Mytilus edulis: one gene and its partners. The protein of the gene in region 1 purifies or fractionates together with the protein of each later gene. This does not show direct contact. Links are inferred from orthologs where the notes say so. Each region holds a gene or a part of one and is shown in the gene's direction. Other genes may lie near its edges. The genes, in order: 14-3-3 protein epsilon-like, phosphatidylinositol polyphosphate 5-phosphatase type IV-like, CREB-regulated transcription coactivator 1-like and serine/threonine-protein kinase SIK3-like.

Region 1 (7,639 bases):
ACTATGGCTTGGTTTTATTGGGATTAATTTTCAAACAACGATCTTAATCCATCAAGTTTACTTTGAAGTCCTTTTGCTGAAGTAGTAAAATGGCAAGATCATCAGCATATGTATAGTAAAGAATAGGCTGGTCGTGAATAAACGACAGCTGGATCAGGGGAACTTTTAACACAATCAGGAAGTTCATTTATAAAACTTTTAAACAAATTTGGACTCAAATTGTCTCCCTGTTTTACTCCAACTTTAGTTCTAAAGAGATCTCTTACCATACTCTCTAACTATATTCAATAGCTTAAGTTTTATCCCTGGGAGAATGACAGTATTAAAAGCCTTCTGGAAATCATCAAAGCAAGCAAACATTCTACCTTCTTTTGTATTACAATACTTATTTATAATAGTTTTTAGAATGAACATATGGTCAGATGGTACCGGTCATGTTTTTTTTTTTTTTTTTTTTTTTGATAAACCCAATTTGGCTCTCATCAATGATATGATATTTATCTAAGGATTTACAAAGACGTGTATCAAGTATCTTATTAAAAAGGCTTCCTCAATGAATCAGTAATTGTAATTCCTCGGTAGTTATTAAGATCGGATGCATCATTCCCTTTATGAATTGGGAATAAAAAACGTTTGGTCCAGGGTTCCTGGTATTTTTCATAAGAAAGATAAAGATGTATAACGGATAGCATGGTACCAATAGGCGTATTCAGAATTTTCAAAAACCACGGGTAATAATTATACCTGAACTTCGAATTTGCACCTTATAATCAGCTTGACTATATACCAAATGACAATACGACTTCTCAAAATCCAGGCTAAGAATAAGATGTATGTTGTTTAATTCAATTACGGACCTGCGAATTCGCGGATATGGTCTCCAACGATCCCCATAACATTATTTTGACTCCTTACTTATGCTCTTTCGACTTAAAGTATCAATTTTAAATTGTAGATTTTTCTTTTAAATTCCACCTAGTAGGTACATACTAGTTTTTAAAAAGTTTATCTTTTCAATCCATGCAAAATATAAAGAAAATAAATCAGGATACTGTTATTTCATGTGATGTCAAATTTGTTAAAAATCGCCTTTTCTTAATTCGTAACTAAGAATGATCATAACAAGAGCTGTGTGTTAAAATGAATTCTCCACTTTTGAGAATTTATATTGTTATTAAACTTAACAGCTTATAATTAGTTGCCTCTTGGTTGATTTTATACATTATATTTTAAGTAACAGTGACTGGTCATTTCATTTTGTATTGGTTTTTTTTTTCGATTCGTTCCAATTTTCTTTCCTTTCGCACTTTACAGGTATCCCTCTCTTCACCTCTATTAGTTTTTATCATTTAGTGAAATCAACTTCACAAATATATCATATAATATATTCATATAACAAAAGACACGTTTAAAACTATTGACTTGTCTTATTAGGTCCTATTTAATAAAGAGTTACGACCATCACAATTTTAAGTTACGACCATCCTGAACATTTTTGTTTTTTTAGTTACGACCATCATGCTCGAATTATTGAATGATCATTTTACGAAAATTGGAATGTTTTTATGTATCAAATTTTGTTTCAATATCAACGCACTGACGATTAGTATGTATGAGACAAGCGGTTTTACTGAAACATTTTTTTACTGCACGAAAATTGGAAAAGAAAAATGTATCCCTAGAGTTGTCTCCCATCTTCGGATGGTCGTAACTTTAAGTTACGACCATCTGCTTACCACCAGTGATTATACGGCCTCTTCCGTTAGCCAGTTGTACAAATGTTATGAATTACATATATAACTGTTGTCCCCTCACTCCAGGGAGATGGAAGTAGGATTAGATTAAACTACATTCAATGTATAGTGCATGCACAAGTATTTACTCGCCTATTTATGTTAAAATATAAATGCAACTAAGCGCAAATATGAAATCGGCGCAAATGGAAGATTGTTTTTTTTTTATTCGGCGCTAATGCCATACGCCCTACAGTCCAAATACGTCAAATATGCCAGAAGACTTCTTTTATGAGTTATTGTCCTGTGACAATTCTTTACCTTTTTCATTTAAATATTGCCTATTATCTTGAAAACTATAATAGAAAAGAGAAGCTTTAAATTGCAAACATGATCAGCAAAACAAGTTCTACAAATCATCATCTAGTGGAAATCGTCTGTCGACGCCTTATTAAAGTTGTTGCCCTTTAATTACGATTTTTACCATTTTTTTGCGTTTTCGCCATATCAACGTAAATAAGCAAAAATTATCAGTAGGCCAAGAACTTAAATTAAGACAATATAGGGGAAAAAATTTGACCACTCCTTATTGGCGTTATTGTCCATTGACAACGATTTTTACCAATTTTTTTTGGCATTTTGTCTTTTATATGGTTAAGATTGTAATAGATAAAAAGACATTTTAAATCACAAAAATTATCAGCAAGTCAAGAACTAACAAGTCAAATTTTGCTGTGTAACGAAATTAATAGACTGTCCAATCTAATTAAAACCTGATCTCTCAATATCAGAAAACGGGAGCGATGAGAGATCGGTTTTTAATTAGATAGTAGACTGTCCTTCTTTTTTCTTAAAATGTAAAATTAATAAATCTTTACGTAAGCAGCTTGAAAAAGATATAAATAATATATGTCCAGAATACTTTAAATTGTCTGAAACAGACAGATAACAATTAATTCTATCTTCATTTGATATTATGCAGCTTACTGTTCCGTTCATTAAAAAGTCATTTGCACTGAGGGGAGTGGACACAACGCCTGCATACTGAATATTACTGTTTTACCACTTTATATATGATGTTTAATATGTTAAATTTCCATTGTGTATATTGTATTGTATTTTTTGTATATACCTTCAACCCCCAGGGGTATAAATGTGCATTTCATAAATAAATTTATAGGAGAAATTGCCCTTAAAAGAGGACTGTTGACCCCTCTTTTGTCAGTGTTGTAAGCAAAAACGTAAGAATTAAGAAAGAGAGAAACTAAACCAGACTGAATGATTAGCGATACAATTCAAGATCAACATAACAGAATTTTTTGTCATGAATTTTATTCTCGTCTATAATGTTGTAGAATGTCCTTTGTTGAATATGCACATAGACTTTAAGGTGAGTGACACAGGCTCCGCTATCGATCCTCTGTTTTTTTCTTCTTCAAATCTGAGTCATAACTCTAATGACAAACAAACTTTTACCATTATGTTAAAAAATTCTACTTTTAGCTCATCCATGATTTTCTTTGCACCCAACATGGCTCGATATTTCTCACTATGCTTTGACAATTTAACGGATATACATGTATACATGTATGACTCTGATAATTTCCTGCGGAAACACATAGGACAATGTATGACTTGTTTCACGAAAAGAACAGAATTTGAGGGAAAGCAATGACATAGACCTGTGGCGTCTATATGGTGCAAGTCTATGATGCAATATGGAAGGGGCCACAGATCTGAGGGAAGGACACATTTTTTAGGCTGGACACAGATTTGAGGCTTACATGTATAACATATAAAAAATGCAATTAAGGCGGTCATAAAAATAGCCCAAAAAATCAGCGCCGTTTAAGGCGGTCATAAAAATAGCCAAAATAAAGAGTTTCAGGCGGTCATTAATCGTGGCAAATCCTGCATGATATTTTCAAGCATAAAATGGAGAGCAAAGACTTCCAAATAGGAGACACGCTCCCATTAATTTATGAATAGTGTATGATAAGCCATTTGTTTTCCACAACGGCTACCCCTAAATCTGCCTCTAATTACGGAATATGGAAGTTCAGAGGCGGGTTGGGTTCGGACAGAGGTTGTTCCCTAAATAAACTGAAACCTTTAAAGCTAGGATTACATAATCATGGATACTATGGTAAATGCATACTTAAACCCCTTTCTTTTTATGCAAAATCCTCAGAATTCGGTATTTTCTTAAAATAAATTCAGCATTTCATTGAAATATAGCCGCTATGACAAAACTGCATTCTCGAAGAGATTATTTCCCTGAATTGTACGATTGTAGATAGCCTGGACCGTATTAAACTGAGTTGCCTTGAAATGACACGAGAATATTGATCAATATTAATTTAAAGACACATATGTTGTATGACAACTGACTTATGATCTGATTAATCAGATTGACTAAAATTTGCCGACCAGCTTGAACCGGAATTGCTTAGCAGACAATGATCTGACTAACACATTTATTTAAAATACTTCTTCTCCGCAATGTTTTCCATCTGCTCAGTGATTTTTCAAGTTAATGCGTTAATTTTGACCTACAAAACGCCGGCTGCATATTTTCAGAGGGTCTTTCACGAAATAGACATTCTAGCTGACAACCTAGTTAACGCAACCTCCTCCCTTAGTCAATCGCTGCGTCGTATTTGTTCATAAAAATTTAAGAAACTGTGAACAGCAAGAAGCGAAAAAAAATCAGTATTATATGTAAGAAAATGTTGTGTCTAGTTGCTTTTTATGATCTTTCAATAAATTACTTTGTTTTGAAAAAAGATTTTTTGACATAAATGACTAAATTTGTACATTTTTTGCATTCATATTGAAGTCAAGGTCACAAATTGACAATCGTAAAATTATTAATATATCGTACTACGTCCGTGTGCAAACGGTGAGTAAATGAATTAATCATGAATGGGCTTGTTCCCGCGCATGGATACAACCGTTAGTAAGGAACTACTTTCATTGGCGGCATCGGCCATTTTAGAACAGTTTACGATAGTAATTTACAATCTTTCTGAATCTTTGCTAAATTGTGGTCATCGAAATGGCTGATAGAGAGGATTTAGTTTACATGGCCAAGTTGGCTGAACAGGCCGAGAGATATGATGGTATTTATTCGTTTACGATACATGTCAACGATTCAATCAAAATATGTCGGCTATCTTGCATTACTTCCTCTCGCATAATTTAAGACGAGGAAGCAGTTAAAACTTCTATTGTATGCCTCTTATTTACCTTTATGTCTGATTTTCTGATTGCATGTCATGTTTAATACTTTACTGGTAAATGTTTTAAACTGTTTTTGTCCGTAGAGGATAATATTTGCAGTTGTGTCCATGGATATTGACATGACACTGACGGTCGCCATTTTGGGTGATTCTAGTTGTTTCTAAATGCAGATTTTGAATATTAAATGCCAGTAAACTGTTCTAAATAAATGTAAAATATGCACAACGTCCATGTATCGTTAGGTTTCTTGAAGTTGAATCTACAATTATATATTGTTTTGCAATGGTGTACATTTGAAAACCATTTGAAATGTATTACACATTTGAACAGTTATTCTTTTAAACTCCCAGACATATCATTTAATGTTAAATGGTCTACCCTTCTGACTGCTCATAATTCAACGAGTTTTCCTTGCATGTGTATGATATGATAATGTTCAATCCACCTGCAGACAAGTTATAACTTTTGATTGTAATAATATAGGAAATAAAACTTGAAGGAGTGGCCTTGGTAGAAACCTAATCTGCAAATTTTTACTATCCCAAAATACTGATTTACTATTTCAATGGTGTGATGTTCTATAAATAATGCATCCATAGACATACAGCCAGTCCGGAAATATGTCCTGTCAAAAATCTGCCATTGTATATACATGTAGTCCAATAAAACGTCTGATTACCCTTTATTGGGTTTGTCACCATCTTTTCTAATAAACATTGATGAAACAACTATTTGGTAACTATCTAAGGCCCAAAAGAAGTTCACTCAATGATTGTTCAACCAAAAACTGGTCTTGGATACCATTTTTGTTCGCTGTTATACTAGTCTGTCGCTTCCACCCCATACATGTATGTAATGCAGAGTTGTCCAGAAGTTGTTACGATCTTATTGGTAATATTGGCCAGCTAACTTTAAAATGCCAACTTGAGTAAGTGAGCTTATCTTTTGGTTGATAAAATCGAACCATAAACTCTAAAGGAAACATTTATGGCGCTGACAGTTTAACCTTTAAAAAATGCTCATAAAAATCAATGCAGGCAGGCAAAATATAAATCATGATCAACTGACTATTATTGCGGTATGTAACAGGAACCAAACCTATTTTTTATTTTGTAAGCTCTAAAAGTCTTCACTATGCACTTTTGTATCCCAATGAACATAAAACACCCCTTTCATTATTAATTCTAGGAAGTCTATAGAGCTTAAACTGTTGCTTTATTACAAAATAAAAAGATTTCTGGTATCCCTACATACCCCAACATAGTCTTCACACATGGCCACAGACTCTGCATCCAAGGCTTGTAAAATCATCTCTACAGGCCATAAGTGTAACAGTAAATTTGGTCCGGTAGTAAAATTTGTCCTCCAGACTTATTTTCCTACTTAATCAAGTTCATGTCCATGATTTTACTAGTAATATAAGTCCTAGGACAAATGTTCCTAGGAAAATAAGTCCATAGCTAGTAAATTATGTCTAGCACTTGTTTTTCTAGGAAAAATTGTCCTAAGACTTGTTTTTCTTTAGAGTTTTATTAAATCATAAAATATATTTAAAATAGATGAAAAAAATGTTAGATAAGATTGGAGAATTTCCTTATTTTTTTCCAATTAAAATGAAGGACATTTTCTTTATAACCTAATTAAAACATGAATATTGAATTCCCATTGCTTATAACATTTTCTTTTATAATAAAAGACATGGACATTTTTACCTAGGAATACTAATGACATAGACATGATTTCCTAGGAAAATTAGTCTGGGGACATGAATTTGATACATACAACTCTTTAACAATATTAAAACATATTACATTTATAATTTTATATTCACCTTTTAAAATTAAGGGCAAAGACATTTTAACCTAGAACTATTAATGACATGGACATGATTTCCTAGGAAAATTAGTCTGGGGACATGAATTTTATCAAAAATATAACTATGCAATTCTTAAACATTACTAAAACATAACATTTAAATTTCCATGGTTTAAATGTAATTGAATTTATTATATGATTTTAAATTAAAGGACATGATTACTTAGGAAAATTAGTCTGGGGACATATATTACTAACATTGGACTAGATATACTAGTAAATTCTGTAACCATGGACTTATTATACTAGTAATGTTTGTCCGCCCAGACATATTTTACCAGGACAAATTTATCACTAACATATGCATCTTAAATAAAATTATATGAAAAAGCAAGACCTAGCAATCCAACATTCCGTCACAAATATTCACTCTGTTAAAAGTTTTTGAAATTTAAATAACTTTCTAAAACTATCCTGGATTTGTACTAAACTTAAACAGAAGCAAGTATATGATTATAAGATAGTATTCAGCAGTAAATTTTGTAAAAATTCCATTCTGTGTTTTACTTATAAATGGACTTAGTTTTTCTGCCTGGAAACAAGACGTTCACTCTGAGGTTAAAGTTTTTATACGACCGCAAATTTTGAAAAAATTTTCGTCGTATATTGCTATCACGTTGGCGTCTGCGTCGTCGTCGTCGTCGTCCGCCGTCCGAATACTTTTAGTTTTCGCACTCTAACTTTAGTAAAAGTGAATAGAAATCTATGAAATTTTAACACAAGGTTTATGACCATAAAAGGAAGGTTGGTATTGATTTTGGGAGTTTTGGTCCCAACATTTTAGGAAT
Region 2 (7,268 bases), on another chromosome or scaffold:
AGTCTCTTTGAATAAATTTAAAATATATATATTTATCAATTGAAAGGTTTCTCCCTGGTGTTACATGTAAACGTAAGGGTTTTTATAAGTGCACTTAGAATGTCACACAAAATTTTCAACTACTCTTATTCTCCCACAACTGTAAGCATTCTGAAGTAAGCTTTTAATCCTCTTATTTGCTTATAGATTCTTTTGTGTGAGAATTTGATTAAATAGATGAAAAATGGACTCTATCTGTCAAATCAAAAATAGATCAAGGTGAAAATTATTTAAACGCTTGTCATTTACTGAACATAATGCTTTATTACAATGTATGATTTATAGCGCATATATATGTATATATCATATATATATATATATGTACAGTGAATCATAATAATCTGGATTAAAAACAACCATGCCCTTATTCTGAATAATCCTATTTTGTATGAAGCTTTTGGAAAATTTTCATTTCATAATTACATCTTTGCAAAGGAAATAACAACAATGTTCTATTCTTTTAACAAACTATTTTTAAAACAAATATTAATAAATCACCTGTATCTATATTTTTGTAAATATAGAATACAATCATGACAATGTAGTTATTTCTAGCTTTTTTTTTCTTTCTCAGAAAACAGTCTGTAATTGCTCTGATTTTAAATATATATATACATGTACAGTGTATACGCATTTATTTTTACATTTATCATGTACATGTATATTACAGTATATATATATGGAGTAAAATTATATTGTTCTATGAATGATTAAACAGGCAAATTATATATAATTAGGGATCTGAAACTTTAATATGCATACATGTATATACAGATGTAAATCTTCATTTTTTAAACTTTATATAATTCTGTACAAGAATACTTTAAATAAAGGACTTTTATTTAATGTATGTAAATGCTTTGTAAGATTTTTCAGGGGCATCAAATTAACCATATATTTGAAAAAGCAAGTAAACCTATTCTGTAATTGATAACAATGACATCTGACAGTGGGTCATTCTTGCTTTTTATCAGATATCCACATCAAATGTTACTTTTTAAATGGATAAACTTGTCAATTTTCTTTAACATGTTTACCTTTCGTTTCTTGTATGCATGCTATTTTAGAAATTTGAGAATCTTTAAAGGTGAAAATAAAAATTGTAAAGGCTTTCAAAATTCAAATTGTAGATTTTCAGAATTGAATGACAAGTTTTTCCAATACACTTCTTTCATCAATTGTTAAATAGTTCTGATCGAAATCTATATGAAAAAGTTTTATCTGAATACTTCCTTAAGAATATATGTTAAACTGCTCAATGATACAAACCTATAATAAAAACATGAAAAGCAATAACCAAATGATCATTTTTTAAATCAATAGTTGTTCAAAAACTAATTTATATTTTCTCATAGTCATATACATACATTTTGTACTACAATATTACTGAGGGGGAGGACAGGGGATACCCTTCTCCCTTCTCCCACCTCTCTTCTCCTTTCTCCTACCCCTCTTCTCCTTACTTTTTTTTTTTAATTTACCGGAAAAAAGAGAGATATTTTATTTTTTCATATTTTATTTTTTTCTCCAACTTTTTCTCCTTTCTCCCAGCCTTCCTCTCCTTTCTCCTACCCCCTTTCTCCTTTCTCCCACCCTCTTTCTCCTTTCTCCTACTCCCTTTCTCCCTGTCTCCCTTACCCCTGTCCTCCCCCTCATTACTGTACAATGTACATTTGTACCTTGGCTGGTTTTTGAGACAGTTATATGTGTACATGTACAAATGTATGTAGAAAATGTCCAACAAGTCCTTCAAACATCAATTCAGAATTTAAAAAAATCATGTAAAGTAAAAGTGACAAACACATCATTTTCAACATGTTCAATACACAAAATATATGTACATGTATGTGTACATGAATGTCTTAAATACAATTTGTATCTAAAAACTGAATGTCATTTGATTTTTGATTTTTTTCTCAAAGACATACATGTACGTATACGTTCATGACATTCATTTGTAACTGAATATTTGAGGTAAATTAATGTTAAATTTTAAATGTATGATTATCATGATTATAGCTGAAGTTTTCACAATTAATATGCATGTAACAAGCCTTTAATTTTTGTCATTTTGAATTTGAAAGGAGAGTTAAAATGTAGAAGGACCAGAAACAAATTCCTTAATACATACATCATGTACATGTTATCTAGCAACAACCTGTAAAATAACATTGTATAAAGAATTTTTGTGGAAAAAAACTTGTATTGGGGTCAGTGGCCCAGTACATGTAGCTATAATATCATGGCGAACTTAAACAGTTTTGTACAGACTTGGCAATTTACTACCAACAGCTTTCTGATTACTGAGAACAACTTTTACTACCCATGAAGGACTTACAATGTACAATCTGTCTATTTTTACTAGCAAGATTCAATGTATTTATATACTTACACAGTAACTGTTTGAATGTTTTTATTGTGACCATTTGGTAGAGATGGCACAGTAACTTTGGTAGGTGCTTTTCCAGCTGATCTTTTTCCAGATGCTACTCTTGGTGTTTTAAATGAATCTCTTTCATGCTCACTTGAATTGTCGGATTCTGATTTCCATGCAATATTGTGCATCAATGCTTCCTTGGAAAGTTTATACTTATAGGCTAAACTAGCCACATCTTTGTGTTGGTGATGATTGTGTTTAGTGCAAGTATGAGAACTTGATGAATGAGGAATGGGGTTAGAATTAGATTGAGAACATTTACAAGCACCATTTGAGAGGGAGGTAGTTTCTCTACGTGTGTAACTAAAGGCTGCAGTAATGAGAGGCTGTGATGTTGAAACAGTATATGGTTGATTGCAATGGCTGCATATATTCTGACCAGAATTCTGTGAATAAATATTTCCTGATGCAGTGGTATTGTTTTGTGCACTTGTTATTGTTGCAGTATTTTGAACTGCTATTTTTCGGGGTTCATTGGATTCTTTTTGGGCTACTGTTTTAATTCCACTTAACTGAGAATTTTCTTCCCTATATTGTTCAATATATGATTGATGGTAAGGATAATGTTTGAACACGAAACTATTTTGAATCAAGTTTTTTAATCGTGTTTGTTCTCTCCATGAGTAAGTAATAGGTTGTGGAGTTGGCTTCTCCTTTTCCAGTTTGCGTAGAACACATTTTGAACTGCTAAACCATCCTGTCACATCCTCATTCCTGGTCACTTTAATAGTTTTTGGCACTTTTAATTCAGTGTTTCCTTTTGATTCAACCATGTAATCAGTCAGCCACAACTGATCATCAATTTCCAGCAATTTATTTTGAATCTGTCTATCCAAAAATATATTGAGATCATGATTTGAAGGGGATTTTGCTCCTCTAGCAGAGTTCATGGTTACTCAACTCACAGTTTTAAGTTTAATTTAAATATGATTTCTACTTTGTCATGACATTTCCTTTCATTCATCTCAAGTGTAAACCTAAATTGAAATAAAATAACAAGCAGTTTATCAATAACTTCCTTTTATCCATATATCCAATTGGAAAAGGTTGCTGCAGTCTCCTGACACATGTGCCCTTTCCTCCATTTTCAAACAATGATTGTTGGCATGAACATCCCTCTTGGCTGTTACTTTTTGTTTAACCTCCAAATTTAATTAATTATTTGTCAATTCTAGATTTCAAACACAATTTGCATTACGGAATAATTTAATCGTTTCCTCTTAAAAGATTGTTTTTAACAGAAGTCCAAAAGATTAATTAAAATGTAATTATCTTAAAACGAAAATAAGAGGGAGTGAATAGAACAGCATCGTAAATGTTTTGTTATGATTTGCAACATTAAAAAACTACGTATTTCATCATGAAATGTACAAAAAATGCAGTATTTACACTTTTGAGTGCAAAGTTATATCTTATATGCAATATTATTTCATTTCTTTTAACATTAATATTTTTGTACGACATTCCACCAGCAAACGCTTGACAGAATGGACATTTACCTTACCAGCAAACGCAACAGAGATTCTAAGTACCTTGCAAATATTACTGAGGCTGCGCACTGTGGATTGCATTCCAAGATGGTGGCTGCTGATATAAACAAATACACACGCCGGTAAATAAGCGTGTTTTATCACATTAATGCAACTTTTATATGATATTATCAGTTCTCTTACAGCCTTTGCCAATCAACGTTTTCTCTGTCAAATTACTCAGAATCTATAATGGCATATATAAATCTCAGATGCTGATTCTGAATTTATACAGTTGCTATGGTTTACTCGGGGTAAATAATAATCAAGAATAATGATTAACTGTGGTTTCTGAATTAATCATACATCCGCATAACAACTTTAGTTGTTAAGAAAACACACTATCTATGTTCAATAATGCATGAATTTGATATGCAGTAAGTAAAGAAGGTAAACATGTAAACATGGATGTGTTACCCAAATTTCACACACAACTTTTATATTCACATACTGATAATCACTGCTGTAACAGTTTTTCTGTCAATACAAGTAAGTTGATATGAGGCATATACACAGGCACTTGTCTCAGAAAAAATTTCCTATATACCTTATTATAACACAAGGTACTTAACTAGCATTTTAGAAAAATGTCGGGTGGTGACGAAGTTCCGTTATATGCCGCTTTATAGGCTGTTAACCCCACTAAAACTTGTTATATCGTAAATCTAAATTGATTTATCTTTACAATGGTGTATAAAATGCCTACATTTGTTGTCGGAATCATCCGTATCAATCCTACCAAAGTATGTCAATCATAATAATTTTGCAAACCGCTGAAGAATTGGCAATAAACGCGTCACGTCTCCTTGTATATCTCGGTTTCCGATTGGTCAATTCTATGGGAAAGTCTAAATGATTCTCGGAGTTATCTCTGATCTTGTTTCATTTCATACGTAAAGTCAAAAGAGAGTCTGCAAGACATTGACGTCATGGAAAAATTTGTAACTTAGTCTTAAGTCTTTAGTAAGTGTCCCAAATGACACTGTAAACACTTGTGTACGTTTCCTCTTTTGTAGTTTCTTCACATATGTAATGTTCACTCATGTACTTAATTGAAATTGTGGCTGCTGCTTAAAAAATTTTGACTTAATTTTGATATAGATTTATAGTGTTTTTTGCTGTATAGTGTTTTTGAATCTACCAGACTCCGTTAAATAATTTTCCAGATGGCACAATATCTCATTTCGATTGTCTCTATTAATGTCTTCTTCATCGATTCCTAATAAGGTGTCTAAATCCATGTGTATATTTCCTGTAATAAAGTAAATAGATGTTCTCATCCTCTCTCTAGCCTCCTCATAGTTAGAACAATGTAAAAGTTCGTGTTCTACAGTTTCTGGCTCTCCACAGGAACAGTTTTTGTCTGATGATGGTATAATTTTGGATTTATAATCATTTAGATCACAATAACCTGTTCTCAAACTAGTTGTAATTGAAAACGACCATTTGGATGGTAAATCTTTTGGTATTTTCTGACATACTTTTTGATGATAGTTGTAATAATTTCTGCCACGTTGACTTGATTCCCATTGGTTCTGCCATTTTCTTAAAACACTTTCTCTTGCTGCACGTTTTATATCCTGCCTGGTTACTTCTGATGGTTCTTCTATTTTTTCAGCTTCTTTAGCTCCTTTTTTGGCCAGTGAATCAGCAATGTCATTTCCTTGGATATCAGCATGACCAGGTGTCCATTCAAAATTTAATGGAATTCCATTCATCTTTAATACTTTCATGTTTTTCTTAATTTCTCTTATGACTTTGATGTAATTCTCTGATTTCCAGTTTAAAGTTAAAATTCCAATTGAGGTCTGACTATCTGAAAAAAGTGTAATTAGACATACCACAAACAACACTTGTTAGATTTTTTTCATGGTATATTATATAATTTTACTAACTGTATGATAAGTTCTATTCATACGAAAACTAACAGGTTTTTTTTAAAACAATTTTTATAATATATCATTTACTGCGGACGTGTATTGCCAATTCTTCAGCGGTTTGCAAAATTATTACGATTGACATACTTTGGTAGGATTGATACGGATGATTCCGACAACAAATATAGGCATGTTATACACCATTGTAAAGATAAATCAATTTAGATTTACGATATAACAAGTTTTAGTGGGGTTGACAGCCTATAAAGCGGCATATAACGGAACTTCGTCACAACCTGACATTTTTCTAAAATGCAAGTTAAGTACCTTGTGTTATAATAAGGTATAGGAAATTTTTTTCTGAGACAAGTGCCTGTGGGCATATACTCTGAAAATGTGTGATAGTGGTAGTTTACATTTGCATTGAAAATTTCAACACTGAACAGTAAAATCACATCTTTCAGCATGGCTTGGGAAGAACTCTATATTTTGAACATCTGGATAATTAACATGTGCTTCTAGATACATTTGTAACTCAACCTGAGACAAGCTTAAACTCTAAACAATGGATCTATAGATTTTTATATCTAGAAATCTATAATTTAATAAAGTGAAACAATAATTGCCTTTATTTCATAATTTTGTTTTCTGTTTTGCTTTTTATTTTGTTTTTATTTTTCTTCAATTTTTAAATAAGTTGATCTATGAACTCACAAAATGATGATAACAATTTCAAAAAAAAGTATAAAATTATTTAAAATATCTAGGCATTTCGCTTTTTTCTTATCTCAAATAGAACAATAAAAAAAATATATATTATTACATTGGTTGCAATGAATACATTGATTTCCCAGTTAGATAAAAACCGATAATTTCACATGTGAAATAAACGCGGTTATTTCACTCTCTGACGTCATACAACAATAGGCGTTGTCAAGACGTCGTTAACGTCGGATCAAAACAAATTGTCAATGCGTAGGAAAAAGATATAGTTCCTTACATTTTCTACATTAATTTTATAAAAAAAAGCCATTTGCCAATGTAATAAAAAGAATAACTAATCGCCGTATTTGAATATCAAAAATAAGACAACTTGTGACCGAACGCCGCTATGGACTAAAGTCCTGCTGCGCACTCGTTTAATCCATGCGTCGTTCGGTCACGCGTTGTCTTATTTTTGATATTCAAATACGGCGATTAGTTATACTATAAATAATTAACACCAACAGCAAAAGCAAATTAATCATTATCATTCATCAGGCAAACAAAAAAGAGCTTACCAAACTATCTTAGACCAAAAATGAGAATATTGTTGCAGAGTTTGGGATCAACACACTTTTGCAAAAATAAATAGCCTGGAACAACTGCAAAGAAGAGCTGCAACAG
Region 3 (6,946 bases), on another chromosome or scaffold:
AATTAGTCGAGTTAAGACGAGTGACTTCTTTTTAATTCTGGGATGACGGAACAGAATTAGTCGAGTTAAGACGAGTGACTTCTTTTTAATTCTGGGATGACGGAACAGAATTAGTCGAGTTAAGACGAGTAACTTCTTTTTAATAAGAATAAGAATCATATGTATTATTCCAACCAAGAACCTTTGATGTGCAGCATGACATAGAATCATATGTATTATTCCAACCAAGGACCCTTGATGTGCAGCATGACATGTACAAATAAAACAATACATTGTGATTTGTAACAGAAAAACATTTTTGTTATACATTGAAATGAAATATTAAAAGTTCAGACAGATGTTATTATGATAGCGCTACACACGTTTCTTGTCTTTATTTTATATAAGTCCTTTAATTTAATTGTTTTCTGTTAAAAATATTTCAAACTCTACATCTTTTCAGTTGACGAGTATATATGTTTAATGTAAACGTTATAGTTTAATGAAACATGTCAGTTTAACCTATTTAATACTTATGGATATGGGGTAAATACATGTATGTAGATATATACGCTGTATCAACCTGGAAATGTAAACAAAGGATTTAATAGTTAAATACATGTGTGCACCGTATATATATATATATATATATATATATATATATATATATATATATATTGTGTTAATGTTAACCATTGATTTATTTAAGTTGAAAGTTGTGAAAGCAAACCTGTTTAAAGGATTGGTTATGGAAATTTTGACTAATAGACAATCAGTGTTGTAAGATGCTGTGCGTTATGACTTCATTTACCCTGTAATAATTTAAGAGTTATAACTTTTTCCTAAAGCGTTGTCACTGCTTCAGTTGACTACAAATCGAATTTGTAGAAAATCTTACAAAAAAGTATCGGTCCTAATATTAACAGGGTGCATATTTTTTTGAATCGACTGCATCATTGTTTCATTTGGTGCATTTGGTATTACCATTGGGAAAAGTGTGATGAACCGTTTTTCGTCAACTTGTTCCAGTTTTTGCATAAAGAAAACATAAAAATAACTCGGAAAGGGGGGGGGGGTAAATTAAGCTAGCATCGTTCATTAACGTTTCACGATATACAAGAAGAATTTGTGGCCCTGAATGCTCCTAACCTTCGTACTTAATTTGGTCTTTTTTTAAACTGTTATGGAATCGAGCGTTACTGATGAGTTTTTTGTAGACGAAACGAGCGTCTGGCGCAAATACACAATTTCAATCCTGGTATATATGAGGAGTTTATTTCCTACCTGATTCAAAGTTCAACTACGCTGGTGGCATCTATGTCATTGGACTTGAAAATAAAAGTTACCACAAATACAGTTAGATGTATCAAGACTTAGACAGGTAGAAAGAAATCGGCAAGGAGAATTTTTTGATAACCGAAATGCGAAATGATGCAAATGAGCTTTCAATTTTATGAAACAACAATCTAGCAACACGTGTACAGGATACATATTTTCAAGTTGACACGGTATAGCATGGCATTAATTTAGTTCCTATTAAAAAAGTCAGCGAAAGACGATGGCTACTGTTTTGATGGACGTTTTGTAACCTTGAAGTAATTACTTAGAAAGTTAACAGTTTATATGAGATGCCCCTCAATTTCTTTCCCAATAATGTTGGTCTTCTCTTTTTAGAAAGAAATATTTTTTAATTCCGGATTAGGAATAAAAAAAAAAACCTCCGATCAGAACAAATTAAGAATTTTGTTAAGAACCTTCAATACAATATTTGTAAAACAGTTTAGTGCGTCCAGAGTGATTTTCTATGTTTACTTTCATCGGATCGTTCAAGGATTCGGAAAGGAATCCAGAGTTGATTGTTCAAAGGAGTTGCAATCATGTCATACACTGAAGTAAAAAGTCGAATGTTATAGGCGCGTGTTTGATTATTCGATTGATTGTTCTCTGCTGACTGTCAAGCGACAAGTTGAAATTATAAAAAAATATCTCAGGTTTTGTTTCAGGTAGATGACGGATTGACAATAATCAAATAAATAGGTTCTGCAGAATAGATTGACCAGAATGAAGGGTTCGAATTTCCACTTACACTGGGGAAGAAGGGTATAGACATGGACCGAAATTTTCTAACATTGTGGATAACAGAAAGAGTCGTTGCATGGGTTACTAGTAATATATCAAAGGTAGTTCAATATACCAGACGCGTGTTTCGTCTACATAAGAATCATCAGTGACGCTCAGATCAAAATTGTTATATAGCCAAACAGTACAAAGTTCAAGAGCATTGATGACCCACGTGAAGAGGGTGTAGCACTCTCCCAACACTGGGCATCTTATTAAACGTCCACATTCCAATCGAATGATTCTGTGAACTTGTGCATCCGACTATAACCAAACTAACGCCCTTCTTAAGCATATGTTTACTGCTATATCATGGAGGTCACACATGTCCATACCCAAGTCAACCTCTGAGGTTTATTCAAACAAATAAATAAATCCAACCTCAACTTAGGTTCAGAAAAAAAGGTCGATCGATGGAACGAAGGATAGTCGATTTAGACTACAACTTTGTAAAGGGGATACTTAAATTACGTTATATTGGATCCTAGAGTATTGAGTGACATGCTGCATAATCAAACGAACACTAAACACCCCTTCTGTGCGAGTTCTACGGTTGGCGATATAGGTCTCGATGGTCACATTTATATAATTGGTGAGGCAGTAAATCACGGTCTCACTGCAATAATGGAGCTACGCCAAATTCAAGATATGCTTGTCAGTCCCTGTCTATATCAGCCACTGTCGAAATAAGAAGATATGTCTTTTAGTCCACGTCGATAAAAGATATGTCTATCAATCGCCAACAAAAGACTATAATCGTGGCTAAAAGTTTATTGTATTTTTGTTTTACTAGTATATATGATGAATTTTCCGTTGCGTATTTAGATTAAGAGTGTCGGATATTGTGAGCAGTAAAAACGAAACGTTCAGTGCTTGGATTCTGAAGGTCAGCATGATAAATTTGAAATGATTATCACCTTTCGGTTACAGCCGTCCAAAGTTTTTAAAATCGTCAAGAACTGCACACATTCCGGGCAAAAAATGAAAAGCATGCAGTTAAATGATGACAGACCCTTCACCGTGAACATGTTCATGACCTCGGACTGTTATAAGGATATGACCTATTGGTATTCTGCCAATATTGGGTGGTGTTTTCGGTAGGATCATTTATTTATATCTATTGCTAAGCATTTTTTTTGCGTTTTAGTTGGCAGATATTTATCATTTCGATTTTGTACAATATATTATTTGTCAGCAAAATAAGCTAAGAAATTTCGCTGATAACTTATTCACTTGCAAGTGAACAATTCGACCTCATTGAATCCGTATTCATGTGACCTTTAATTAAATCCCTCAGCTAGAGATTGGTTACGCATGTATTAAATGGGTGTTTAGCCGCTATAAATCAGTCCACTCGGGAAATGCATATGAGTGTCAGCATTGCGAAATATTATGTTGAAAGTGAAACTGCGTTCCTTTGGTTATTTTAGTATATTTCAGGACCTCCACAATTCGATTTCAGAACATTATTTAATCGATAAACAATATGAACAAAATATGGCAGAAACAAACTTGAAATCGTCTTTTCACTAACTGTAACCTAACGGCCAGTGGACGAACTGGCAGTGTGGCCGAAACGTCTCGATAGCTACATGTAATCTCAGATTGTATGATAACATTAAATATAAATGAGTTCGAGATTTTAAATCTTTATATATCATTAATATGACTGAATTTTTAACTGCTTAAGCCTTTTATTGTTACTGATTTTCTTTTAAATTATGAAAATTCAGCATTATATAGATTAGCAGGTGCTTGTTGTGCTGCCACCTATCAAAGATCACATGTATTACACGGATGGATTTGATTGGATAACAATAGATTAGGCCCCCTGCGAAGTCAAAATCATAACAAGCTTGTCCTTTTCTGCCATCATGGCGAATCCACGGAAGTTCAGTGAAAAAATAGCATTACACAATCAAAAACAAGCAGAAGAAACTGCTGCTTTCGAGGCAATAATGCGGGATGTTACGCCTGTTACGAAGGTTTGTTATTATTGTCGCTTGAAACGCCTTATCGGTAGCATTCTAATTATGTCGACTAATGAATCGTGTTTTGTCAACATGAAACTAATTTTCGCTGTTATTTATTTATATGTAGGTCCCGTCGATGCAAAAGCAGCATCTTCAACTCCAACAAAACATAAGTACACAGTACAGAGCCGGTTCCTTACCAAATGTCAACCAGATGGTGGCAAATTCCGGTATAGATCTACAGGTGAGATATTTACGATGTTGACATAACTGTCGTCTCGTGTGATTATTGTTTACATTTTATAGATTATGTTAATGAAATATTATTGTTATGAAACATTATTTGAATTGTTATCTTTTATTTGATAGAGTGCATTTCAACATTTGGATGATTTGAGACAGATGCCAAACCGGATGGACAGTAGATTCCATGCAGTCAGAGACAAGGGGAGACCACTCGGTCCGCACAGACGAGGATTTCCAATTGATAAAGCTAGGGTACACACAGTTTATTAACTTTAACTTATATGTTTTTTCACATCTAGCTAACAGGTTCTTTTGGGAAAATGTCTTGTTTGACTCAGGTTGATGTCACACTGACATAATTTTGAACACGAGTTGTATATGAAAACTTCTTTGATATTTTAGTCTGGAAAAATATCATTAGTTTCCCCAATTCATTATTGAGTCCAGTAAGTCAGTTATTTTTAATAAGCACAATGTTGATTGGATGAAGTTAACTGGGTAAATGCATATTACTGCTCGGCATCATACTAGTTGATATTAGATAAATTAGGACTTTCAACTAGTTTTCAGTATTGAAGTTATTTGAACAAATCACAATATAGTGTATTGCTGATTTTGGTGCAAATGGCATGTCTATTTCTGCTTGATTTATTTAAAGATGGCTGTGACTTAGGTTGGATAACTGATTGACATACATGCACATTGCATACACATGCATATACATGTACATATGTACCATGTACACTCCTGACAAAATGATTCCAGCAATAGTTCCAGGGCATTATTATAATTTGCTGCAATTTGTTTTACTTGGCCTAAATGATTTTGCACAACATTACTCAAGATAGAATTATAAGATAAAAAAGTTACTGGAAATTTTTATTTACTATAATATCTGACATGCTTGAATTTATGGCCAAATTGTAACAAGACAATTACAAAAATGAACTTCATGTAGGTCACATTAAGGGAAGCAGTGCCAGTAATGCCACTTCAATGACTTTTAAATACATGTATAAGATTTCTTTAAATGGTGTGATTGTCAGATTAAGTTTTTATTAAATCATGGCAAAATGTTGTGTCTTTTTTGGGGTCTCAAACTTGATACAAATTCCTTGTTATTGTCCTTTTAGGTAAAATTTCTACTGGACAAATAAATCTCAACAAACATTGTTAGGATTAATAGTACTTTCTATTTGATCACTAATTGCACCATTTGAATACACCTTTGTAAACATTGATTTTTTATAGCTATCATGTATCTGGTTCTAGAAAAAAAGGCACCACTCCTAAACAGAATGATTTAAATTAAGCTAACTTAGCCTTCTTATTTTATTCCCATGTTACTTGATTTTTGCATACAAATTTCCTAAGTGGCATTGAAGGACCTCTTCTGAAGTGATAAACAGTTGTAACACAAATACTTTTTTTTCAGACAAATTGTTCCCCTTATGGATCAGCTTACTTGTCACCACCCCCAGACACCAGTTGGAGGAGGTAAGCAACAATCAATTTTCTGTTTTATCAGTTGCTTTAATTTAACTATATACCAGTCTTATAATACTAATTATTGAGTGATCACACACTATATATGCTTGTAAAGTATTTGAATATTATAAGGTTTGATTTACATGTAACACAAGCAAATGAATATTTTTTTTTTGCTTTTGTGGTATTGCAATGGAATTTTAAATCACAGTTATCCTATATACTTAATTTCTCATGCAAAAATCAATGGTAAAGCAAAATCTGGGTTTTATATATATTCAAATGCAAATTTCTTATTTTAATGGGTAAAGAGGTTCTTTTGCAAAATAATTATTGTTCATTTGCCTTAAAGTCATCGTTCCTCTTAGAAGGATCAATACTGTAACCATCAAATATTAATTTAAACTGAAAAAGATTTAAATGGCTTGACCAACCAGACTAGAAATACTAAATATAACATAAATACAGTCTTGCAACTAAGCCAGAGAAATCACATCAAAATGATGTTGGGCTTATCATCTGCACCACTTAAAAAAACACCATAATTTCAAATTAAACTGTCACTCCAATTAAAATTTGTTAGATGACAGGAAGCACATGTTATTTTATCCTGATCCACAAGTGGTAATTGTTGCATAAATGGATTAATAGTAAATACACAGCACTGCCTCCCCCTTTTTTGAGAGGTTTTATATAAAAATTACCCTCCTTTTTATAACATACTATATAAAAATGCATTTACGTTTGATAACTATATATTGATTTGGGGTATGTATAATCTTCATTTCATATATGAATATGCTATTCAGAATCTTAAATTATAAATAGTCAATGTTATACAGTGCTCTAGCTAGAATTCAAAAGGGGCAGGGTGCCAGTGGAGGGCAGGGCACTTTTTTATGATAGGAGAAGGCACTGCTCATTTTTTTTTTGTCTACGTCCCTGAGTGTATCACGATTTCACATATTTTTTTTCTGTATATATTGTTAATAAAGATGCATAAGTTGTTGTTTTGATTATTTATTCTATAAAATTTGCATAAGAAAAGTCATTCATACTACATGTTCATAAAACATGGCAATACACATTCATACTATTAACCAAAAGAGGCAAAATAAACTTACTTTTCTCCCCCACCCCCT
Region 4 (7,756 bases), on another chromosome or scaffold:
ACCTGATAAAAAGTAACAGCATATATAACCATAATCAGTAACAGGAAGGATGTTCAAGACCATTTCACTGATGAATCAAAAAGTTAATCTACTACATGCCAACTATTTCATTTAATATAAGTTATCATTACAATATCAAATAAATTTCAAAATAATATACAGTATATTGAATGAAAAAATAGTTTTTTTTTGCTTTTGATAACAGCAGAGAACATTGTGCAAATCTAGTATAGTAGATAGTAACAGAAAGGAATTTATTTTAGAATTTTTCATTACCTAGGCAGATTTTTCATCTTGCTAATACAGTTTTAAAGTATAAATGACATTGTTTGCTGTTATCTTCCAATTGTTACCAATCTGAAATGATGTATTTTTCTTAAACTATAAAATAAAGCATTTTTTTGAGAGAAAAAAAAACCTTTCTATTACCAACTCTGTCCTGTTACCGTTGTCCTGTTACTCAAGATTCTTTCATGTTACCGACATATCTTTCTATATTTTAGTATATTTCTAAACCTTATGTATTGCAAATGCTAAAATCAATAATTGGCATTTGATAAACTATTGCAGGATATACTGGTAGACCACAAATAGTGTCTTAAACTTATTCCGTATTCCCGTTAGAAACTTTTTAAAGTTGATTCACTTTGGTAACAGGAAAGAACTGGATTTTTTGTAACATTTTTAAAATTGTTATTGTTAGTTGTCACTTTTAACAATTGTTTGAATTACAGACAACAGTTCCTAGATCCTCAATGTGTGTTGTTCGATTTGTGCTATCAAAATAGCGGGTCTAAAGACATTTATTTTGATTTTTCTAATTGCCAAAAAATTAGGCTTTTTCAGATATTGTCTCGTTTACATTGTGTCTTAGATCAAATTTATTCGTTCATTGTATGTTCACTTCTGTTAATATGTCTTTTGATTGAGTGAAGCCATTTCAATTGATATTTAAGTCGCGTGTTTCGCGACCGTGATATTGTGTCATTCTATGTTGTGATATTACAATATTGCTTTAGATAAGGGTGAATGTGGTGCATATTAAAACAATACTACCCGCTGCATTTGTTTGCACCTGTCCTAAGTCAGGAACCTGATGTTCAATGGTTGTCGTATGTTGATGTGGTACATGTTTCTCGTTACTCGTTTGTTTTTATATAGATTAGACTGTTGGTTTTCCTGTTTGAATGGTTTTACACTAGTCATTTTGGGGCCCTTTATAGCTTGCTGTTTTGTGTGAGCCAAGACCGTACTTTTACCTAACTTGAATGTTTTACTATTACAAATTGTGAAATGAATGGAGAGTTGTCGCATTGGCACTCATATCACTTCTTATATCTATGCGCTGGTCATGTACTAAAACTAGCAGATCAAGAAAATCCATTCGTATGGCTAAATGATTTTCTTCCCCTTATAAGTTTGAATATTCTGTATGATATTTCCTGTTATACTCTGTAAGGGGAATTATATCAATACAGATCAATAAGTTTGGCCCACAGGTTAGTTTAAAATTTAGTCTAACTAATTAACTGTACCTTATATGATTTTAACCGGGTTTGAACGTGATGACATAGTGAGAAAAATCTGCCTACCCATCCGGAGCACGAGAGAGCATCTCCGGTTTTTTATGGGGTTGGTTGGTCTTTGGTTTTCTATGTTGTATTTTGTGTACTTTTCTTTTACTTTTTGTCGTTTTTTGTTTTATTTTTTTCCATGGAATTGTCAGTTTGCTTATAATATTTTCAAGAATCATGAGATATGTACTAAGCACATACTGTCTAGAACTGCAATGCACATAATGTCTAGAACTGCAATGCAGATACATTTTTCAAACCTTCAGGATTTATTACAGAAAATGAGTCTAATAAAGCACTATAAAAATCAGTTGAAATGAGCTTAACTCATCAGATCGATACACTGTACAAGTAAAGGTACCAGCAACAGAAAAAATGACACAAAGTACAATTCTGAGAATACTCGCAGTTACTGACAACTAGTACAAAGCAAATAACAACTGTAATAAAACATTTAACTTACGTAGACTAAAATATCAATCAGTACACACCCACCATCCAATGGATTTAGTGCAAACACGTCATTAACCAAAAACATGACCTTATCCAATGCCAAAATACTGTGAATATGCATATATATATATATATATATATGCATACAAAAATAATGTTAGTTTTTTTTGTTTTTTTTTTCTGATAACCAAAACAATATTTATACCGATAAAACGATATTCAAAGATATACTTACAGTATTGAATTGGTAACATTGTAAAATAAGTTAATTTAAAGGATCGATTAGTTAACCCGGCTTATATCTAAAGTTACTGGCTCGGTAAACAACATCATCGTAAAATTAAGGATGTGTTTTTCGGTTTGAAGCCTTTAGCTAACTTCTAAACCAAGTCTGTGTATTTGGAATAAAATTGAGAATGGAAATGGGGAATGTGCCAAAGAGACAACAACCCGACCATAGAAAAAAACAACAGCAGAAGGTCACCAACAGGTCTTCAATGTAGCGAGAAATTCCCGCACCCGGAGGCGTCCTTCAACTGGCCCCTAAACAAATATATACTAGTTCAGTGATAATGAACGTCATACTAATTTCCAAATTGTACACAAGAAACTAAAATTAAAATAATACAAGACTAACAAAGGCCAGAGGCTCCTGACTTGGGACAGGCGCAAAAATGCGGCGGGGTTAAACATGTTTGTAAGATCTCCCCCCTCCCCCTATACCTCTAGCCAATGTAGAAAAGTAAACGCATAACAATACGCACATTAAAATTCAGTTCAAGAGAAGTCCGAGTCTGATGTCAGAAGATGTAACCAAAGAAAATAAACAAAAGGACAATAATACATAAATAACAACAGACTACTAGCAGTTAACTGACATGCCAGCTCCAGACTTCAATTAAACTGACTGAAAGATTATGATTTCATCATATGAACATCAGGCACAATCCTTCCCGTTAGGGGTTTAGTATCATACCATCATTTATTAATTTTATTAAAGGTTATAAGTAACTTGTGTTAACGAAAGCGTTGACTTAATATGATTTACCAGTAATATCAAAGACATTTGTCTTAAAGTAATATATAGCCAGTTAAGATGGCGTTTCGACTATATGAAATCAAGAAGAAATATTTTGCTCTTTAAATTTGTATTTCAGTAGTCCGGCAAGACCGAACAACAAACCGTTCACACTAAATGTAATGGAACATAACAACAAAAGTATATGTTGGTAGACTAATACATCCAGGCACTTCAGTACTTCAGTGCAAGCAGGGTATACTCTCAAATATGTACAAGAGCAAATACAAGGAATAATGAACAAAGAAATAAAATACACATACACATTCACATAAAATAAGCAAATAATAAGCACAGTCAAAGAGCAGAAACAGTCCAAGGTCACCAATTGGTCTTCAACGCAGCGATGTTATCCCACATAGGAGGCCGGCTTTGGTAGACCCCTAGACAATCATGTATTAGGGTATCGATGGGTGGTACTTCATTTCTGTTTTCTTTGATTTTTTCGCTCATGATTCTTTAACTTTAAAAATAATGGATATTCTGTAATTACAAGATAACTGTATTTTGGACAGTGTTCTCCAAAGTTTCTGTAATCAGTATACTTTTTATTTGGTCTAAGACTACACTCAGCAAAAAGAAGTTTGAATTTCGTATCTTCGTCTTTTTCAACAGTATATATTGGTACTTTTATATTTGGATGCTCGAAATACAGTTTTTAATAAAAAAAATAATTAATGATTTCATGCTAAAAATGAATAAAAGTATACACTACGGGTTCGTGTCGCTCAGTCTTTAGTTTTCCATGTTGTGTTTTGTGTACTATTGTTTGTCTGTTTGTCCTTTTCATTATAGCCATGGCGTTGTGAGTTTATTTTTGACTTATGAGTTTAAATGTCCCTTTGGTATCCTTCGCCTCTCTTCTACACCACCCTTTGAAAATTCCTCTATCCAACCAAGTAAAAATAATTAATTGCATCTTCTAAATTAAAAGATTTGAAGACTGTGATTTGATTTGAAAATTAAAATTCTCCAACTTTGGAAATCTGAACCATTTTATATAGATTGTGGAAGTAAAACTGCTATATAGACACCATACAACCAGTCATATATGTTTTATATTAGAAATAAATGAGCAATCCTAATAGGAGTTAAATAAGTCCCCAAACACAGAAATTTACAGGTATTTTTAGCTGGACAGTGATATTGAAAACAATATAAGTTGCAAGCCCTTTTATCTATGGGGTAAGGATGGGATTAACAGATCAGATAACAAGGGAGGTGTTGAAAAGAAAGAAAAAATGTCCAAATAATAAAGAGTACAATGGTGAATAATGGGGTGCCCAAAGTCTCAGACCCTTATATTGGTTCAAGACTTTTAAAGTTGGGAGTAGGATATTAAAATATAGTATTCCTATGATCACGTACACATGAATTCGATCTCGTTAAACAAAACATATGTGTGAGTCCACACTTTCTTCTTAGTTGCAATTATATATTGATTCTAATTCTTTTCATACACACTATAAATGTCTCTCATCTGTTATTTAAAAGATTTGATAGTTACATTTTTATTTCAATATGTACTCTTAACCGCAGTTCGTCGCTAAAGTTTCGATTGACCTACTTGTGTTGAATGTGTGTCAATGGTGTGTACTCAACCGAAGAAGTTCGTTGTGTATTGCTTTTGGAGACTTAACGCATGCGTGGATCTATATTGTAAACAAAATGGCGACGGTGAAGGGAAAGTCGCAACCCCACGGGGGAATCGTTAGAATAGGATGTTACGAAATTGATAGAACCATTGGAAAAGGAAATTTCGCCGTCGTCAAATTGGCTACTCATATGTACACTAAAACAAAGGTAAGATAAGGCGTTACTCAGTAAACAATATATTGATACACATAAAACAGTTAGAATAACATCACTGCTCAGTCATTGGAGAAGGTTCATATACACACGTTTTGATGCGTTGTTAAGTGTCATTTGGCGAATTTTACAATTGATAAGCCTAGCATTTTTAAAGAAAACTCTACAGAGTACAACCAAGATATTACAAATTTTATAACCAGAGCACGAAGACTTCAAAATCTAAAAAGGTCGACAACCCACTTGCCATGGGGCTGAGACAGAATATTGTTTACTTATGATTGACAACTGAAACAATTGTTCATGTTGTAGTCTTATTTTTTGCAGTATGAAGATGACAGAGACATATGTCATATTGATTTGAATGGAAACTATTAAATGTTGATATAATAGGCTAATTTCCCTAAACAATGTAGATCACAAGTTTAGGGAAATTGACCATGTAAGTTTCAACATCAACCAATCAAGGGGTAGTGTTTTTTTCACAATCTGAATATTTTCTATCACCAAATCAAATTTTCTTTGTCATGTGAAGCATGAGAATTAATGGTAAAAACTTTCAACAAAAATTTATTATCTTTTCCACTGATTTTTTCTTAAAATTTGAGAATCGTTGTAGGTTTATATTTGTGGTACATGTACATTGTATACATGTATTGTCAGAAATTATTTCATTCTATTGTAAATATTATTCAGTGAATGACAACTACAGTGTCATTAAATTTCTCACCAGGTTCTCGGACCCATTTTAGAACCTTGACTGTCTAACAAGTATTGTTATCTGCAGTGGCGGATCCAGAACTTTTCCTAGGGGTGGGGCTCCAGTCATGCTTCAATGATTCCCTATATAATCAACCAAATTTTTCTGGCTATTAATCACTGCAGTAGATCTTCATGATCAATTGTTCAAAGACAACTTGACCCCAATGGGCTGAGTAAATTGACCAGCAGATTTATTCAGATTCCAAAGTTGGACCAAAGGAATTCAAATATATCTCTTTGCTAAACAGGATATTATTAGTAATGTGCATACTTTTGTATATATACTTGACAAATAAAAAAGAAGATGTGGTATGATTGCTAATGAGACAACTCTTCACAAGATACCAAATGACACAGAAATTAACAACTGCATGTACATGTATAGGTCACGGTCACCTTACATCCTTATACAATGAACAAAGCCCATATATCACATAGTCACCTATAAAAGTCCCTGAAATGACATGTAAAACAATTCAAATGAGAAGACTAACAGCCTAATTTATGTACAAAATAATGAATGAAATACAAATATATAACACAGCAACAAATGACAACTACTGAATAACAGGCTCCTAACTTCGCACAGACACGTACAGAATGTGGCAGGGTAAAACATGTTAGTGGGTGCCAAACCCTCCCCCTTATCCTTGGAGAGTGGTGCCGCCATATACAATGAGCAAAGGCACCAACCCTTACACCCCTAAGAAATATGGTAACTTGGTCTTCTTCCACCCAGTAATAAAACGCTTGTCAAAGTTGGGGGTCTGTTTGGCTCTGCGGGATGTACAAATTTGCAGCCACGTCCAGTCAGAATGGTAAAGTTTAATTTGGATGCCTCATGTGAAGAGAGTGCCACGCTCATTGCACGTTAATAACTTTTGCAACAACTCCATGAGGTGGCCTGTTGTAGGGCAAAATTTCTGTGTCTATTCACTAAATTCTAATTTTCAAGTGGCAGTCCAAATTTCCCAGACCATCATCCTTGATGGTCTAGGCCTCTCTATTAACTTGTTCTCATCCTGAACATGCATGAAATATTTGCCACTGGACATAAATCAACCAACAATAAATCATCAATCAATTATTCCCCCAGAAATATTAAGAAAATTAAAAAAATATATGCCAGAGGAGACCGGTTGTCATCTATACAAATTACTTTTTTGCTAGTTTTAGAAAGTCGTCTGCAAAGCTTCATGATAAAGACAATTTTTTTTTCATACTAAATAGAAATTATAACTAAAAGATTATTTCTTCAATGTATTCTTATAATGTACTCCCCAAGTGTCATGCAAGGCAGCTGTATTGCCACATAAAATGGCTTATTTAATGTAACAATAAGTTAACACCATGTTAAACAGGTATTTATCATGATTATGATGGGCTTATACAAAACTTTCTTTTTGCATTTGATTTGATCTTGAAAACTGAATAAGCATATGTATCTGTATACAAATGTAGCTGTGTTTTCCTTGCAGGTTGCCATTAAGATAATAGATAAAACACAGCTTGACGATGATAACATGAAGAAAATTTACAGAGAAATACAAATTATGAAAATGTTGAAACATCCTCACATCATCAGACTTTATCAGGTAAACTACATCATGTACATATGTAAATGCTTCCAATTATCATGTAAACTATATATATATATGCATCCAACAAATACATCCCTGACCCTGTACTATTGCACTGTGTTGTTGTTGAGTCACTGTTACTGTTAGGGCCTTAAATATAAGGCACTGTGTCACCCTGGTGCTATATTTTCTACCATGGTTGTATCTTGGATGATTTTATAACAGAATGTATATAGTGGCCATGGTTCTATATTTTTTGGAAAACCATTGCTATGTTAATTTCCATGGTGCTGTTTGATAATTCTGGGGAGAACACTGGTTGGTGAATGTTATATTTTTATAAATAACAACTCTACATCTCCTTATACTGGTATAAGAATTTAAAAAGAGAAATAAATGTCAGAACTTCAAAAGACTTAATATAACTGGAAAATCATATAATAGTATTAGGTGGAAAACTCATTGAACTAGCAAAGCATTTGGTACTTTGCATAGAACTG

The links.
Region 2: the proteins of 14-3-3 protein epsilon-like (region 1) and phosphatidylinositol polyphosphate 5-phosphatase type IV-like purify together in Homo sapiens (affinity purification with mass spectrometry; 3 studies listed by BioGRID and IntAct, with this or other methods). This does not show direct contact. The link is inferred for Mytilus edulis from reciprocal best matches to the Homo sapiens genes YWHAE and INPP5E.
Region 3: the proteins of 14-3-3 protein epsilon-like (region 1) and CREB-regulated transcription coactivator 1-like purify together in Homo sapiens (affinity purification with mass spectrometry; 3 studies listed by BioGRID and IntAct, with this or other methods). This does not show direct contact. The link is inferred for Mytilus edulis from reciprocal best matches to the Homo sapiens genes YWHAE and CRTC1.
Region 4: the proteins of 14-3-3 protein epsilon-like (region 1) and serine/threonine-protein kinase SIK3-like purify together in Homo sapiens (affinity purification with mass spectrometry; 4 studies listed by BioGRID and IntAct, with this or other methods). This does not show direct contact. The link is inferred for Mytilus edulis from reciprocal best matches to the Homo sapiens genes YWHAE and SIK3.

What each region holds. Positions count from the first base shown.
Region 1 is NC_092349.1:66,417,263-66,424,901, reverse strand, and holds the start of 14-3-3 protein epsilon-like, read left to right. Parts: upstream 1-4,620; 5' UTR 4,621-4,791; coding exon 4,792-4,855; intron 4,856-7,639. UniProt on the Homo sapiens protein: Adapter protein implicated in the regulation of a large spectrum of both general and specialized signaling pathways. Binds to a large number of partners, usually by recognition of a phosphoserine or phosphothreonine motif.
Region 2 is NC_092345.1:8,937,359-8,944,626, forward strand, and holds the start of phosphatidylinositol polyphosphate 5-phosphatase type IV-like, read left to right. Parts: upstream 1-4,266; 5' UTR 4,267-4,409; coding exon 4,410-4,494; intron 4,495-7,268. Other genes in the region: uncharacterized protein, read right to left, coding at 2,432-3,366. UniProt on the Homo sapiens protein: Phosphatidylinositol (PtdIns) phosphatase that specifically hydrolyzes the 5-phosphate of phosphatidylinositol-3,4,5-trisphosphate (PtdIns(3,4,5)P3), phosphatidylinositol 4,5-bisphosphate (PtdIns(4,5)P2) and phosphatidylinositol 3,5-bisphosphate (PtdIns(3,5)P2).
Region 3 is NC_092347.1:28,358,992-28,365,937, forward strand, and holds the start of CREB-regulated transcription coactivator 1-like, read left to right. Parts: upstream 1-3,921; 5' UTR 3,922-3,971; coding exon 3,972-4,082; intron 4,083-4,197; coding exon 4,198-4,314; intron 4,315-4,439; coding exon 4,440-4,568; intron 4,569-5,751; coding exon 5,752-5,813; intron 5,814-6,946. UniProt on the Homo sapiens protein: Transcriptional coactivator for CREB1 which activates transcription through both consensus and variant cAMP response element (CRE) sites.
Region 4 is NC_092348.1:92,250,868-92,258,623, reverse strand, and holds the start of serine/threonine-protein kinase SIK3-like, read left to right. Parts: upstream 1-4,737; 5' UTR 4,738-4,773; coding exon 4,774-4,908; intron 4,909-7,154; coding exon 7,155-7,271; intron 7,272-7,756. UniProt on the Homo sapiens protein: Positive regulator of mTOR signaling that functions by triggering the degradation of DEPTOR, an mTOR inhibitor. Involved in the dynamic regulation of mTOR signaling in chondrocyte differentiation during skeletogenesis.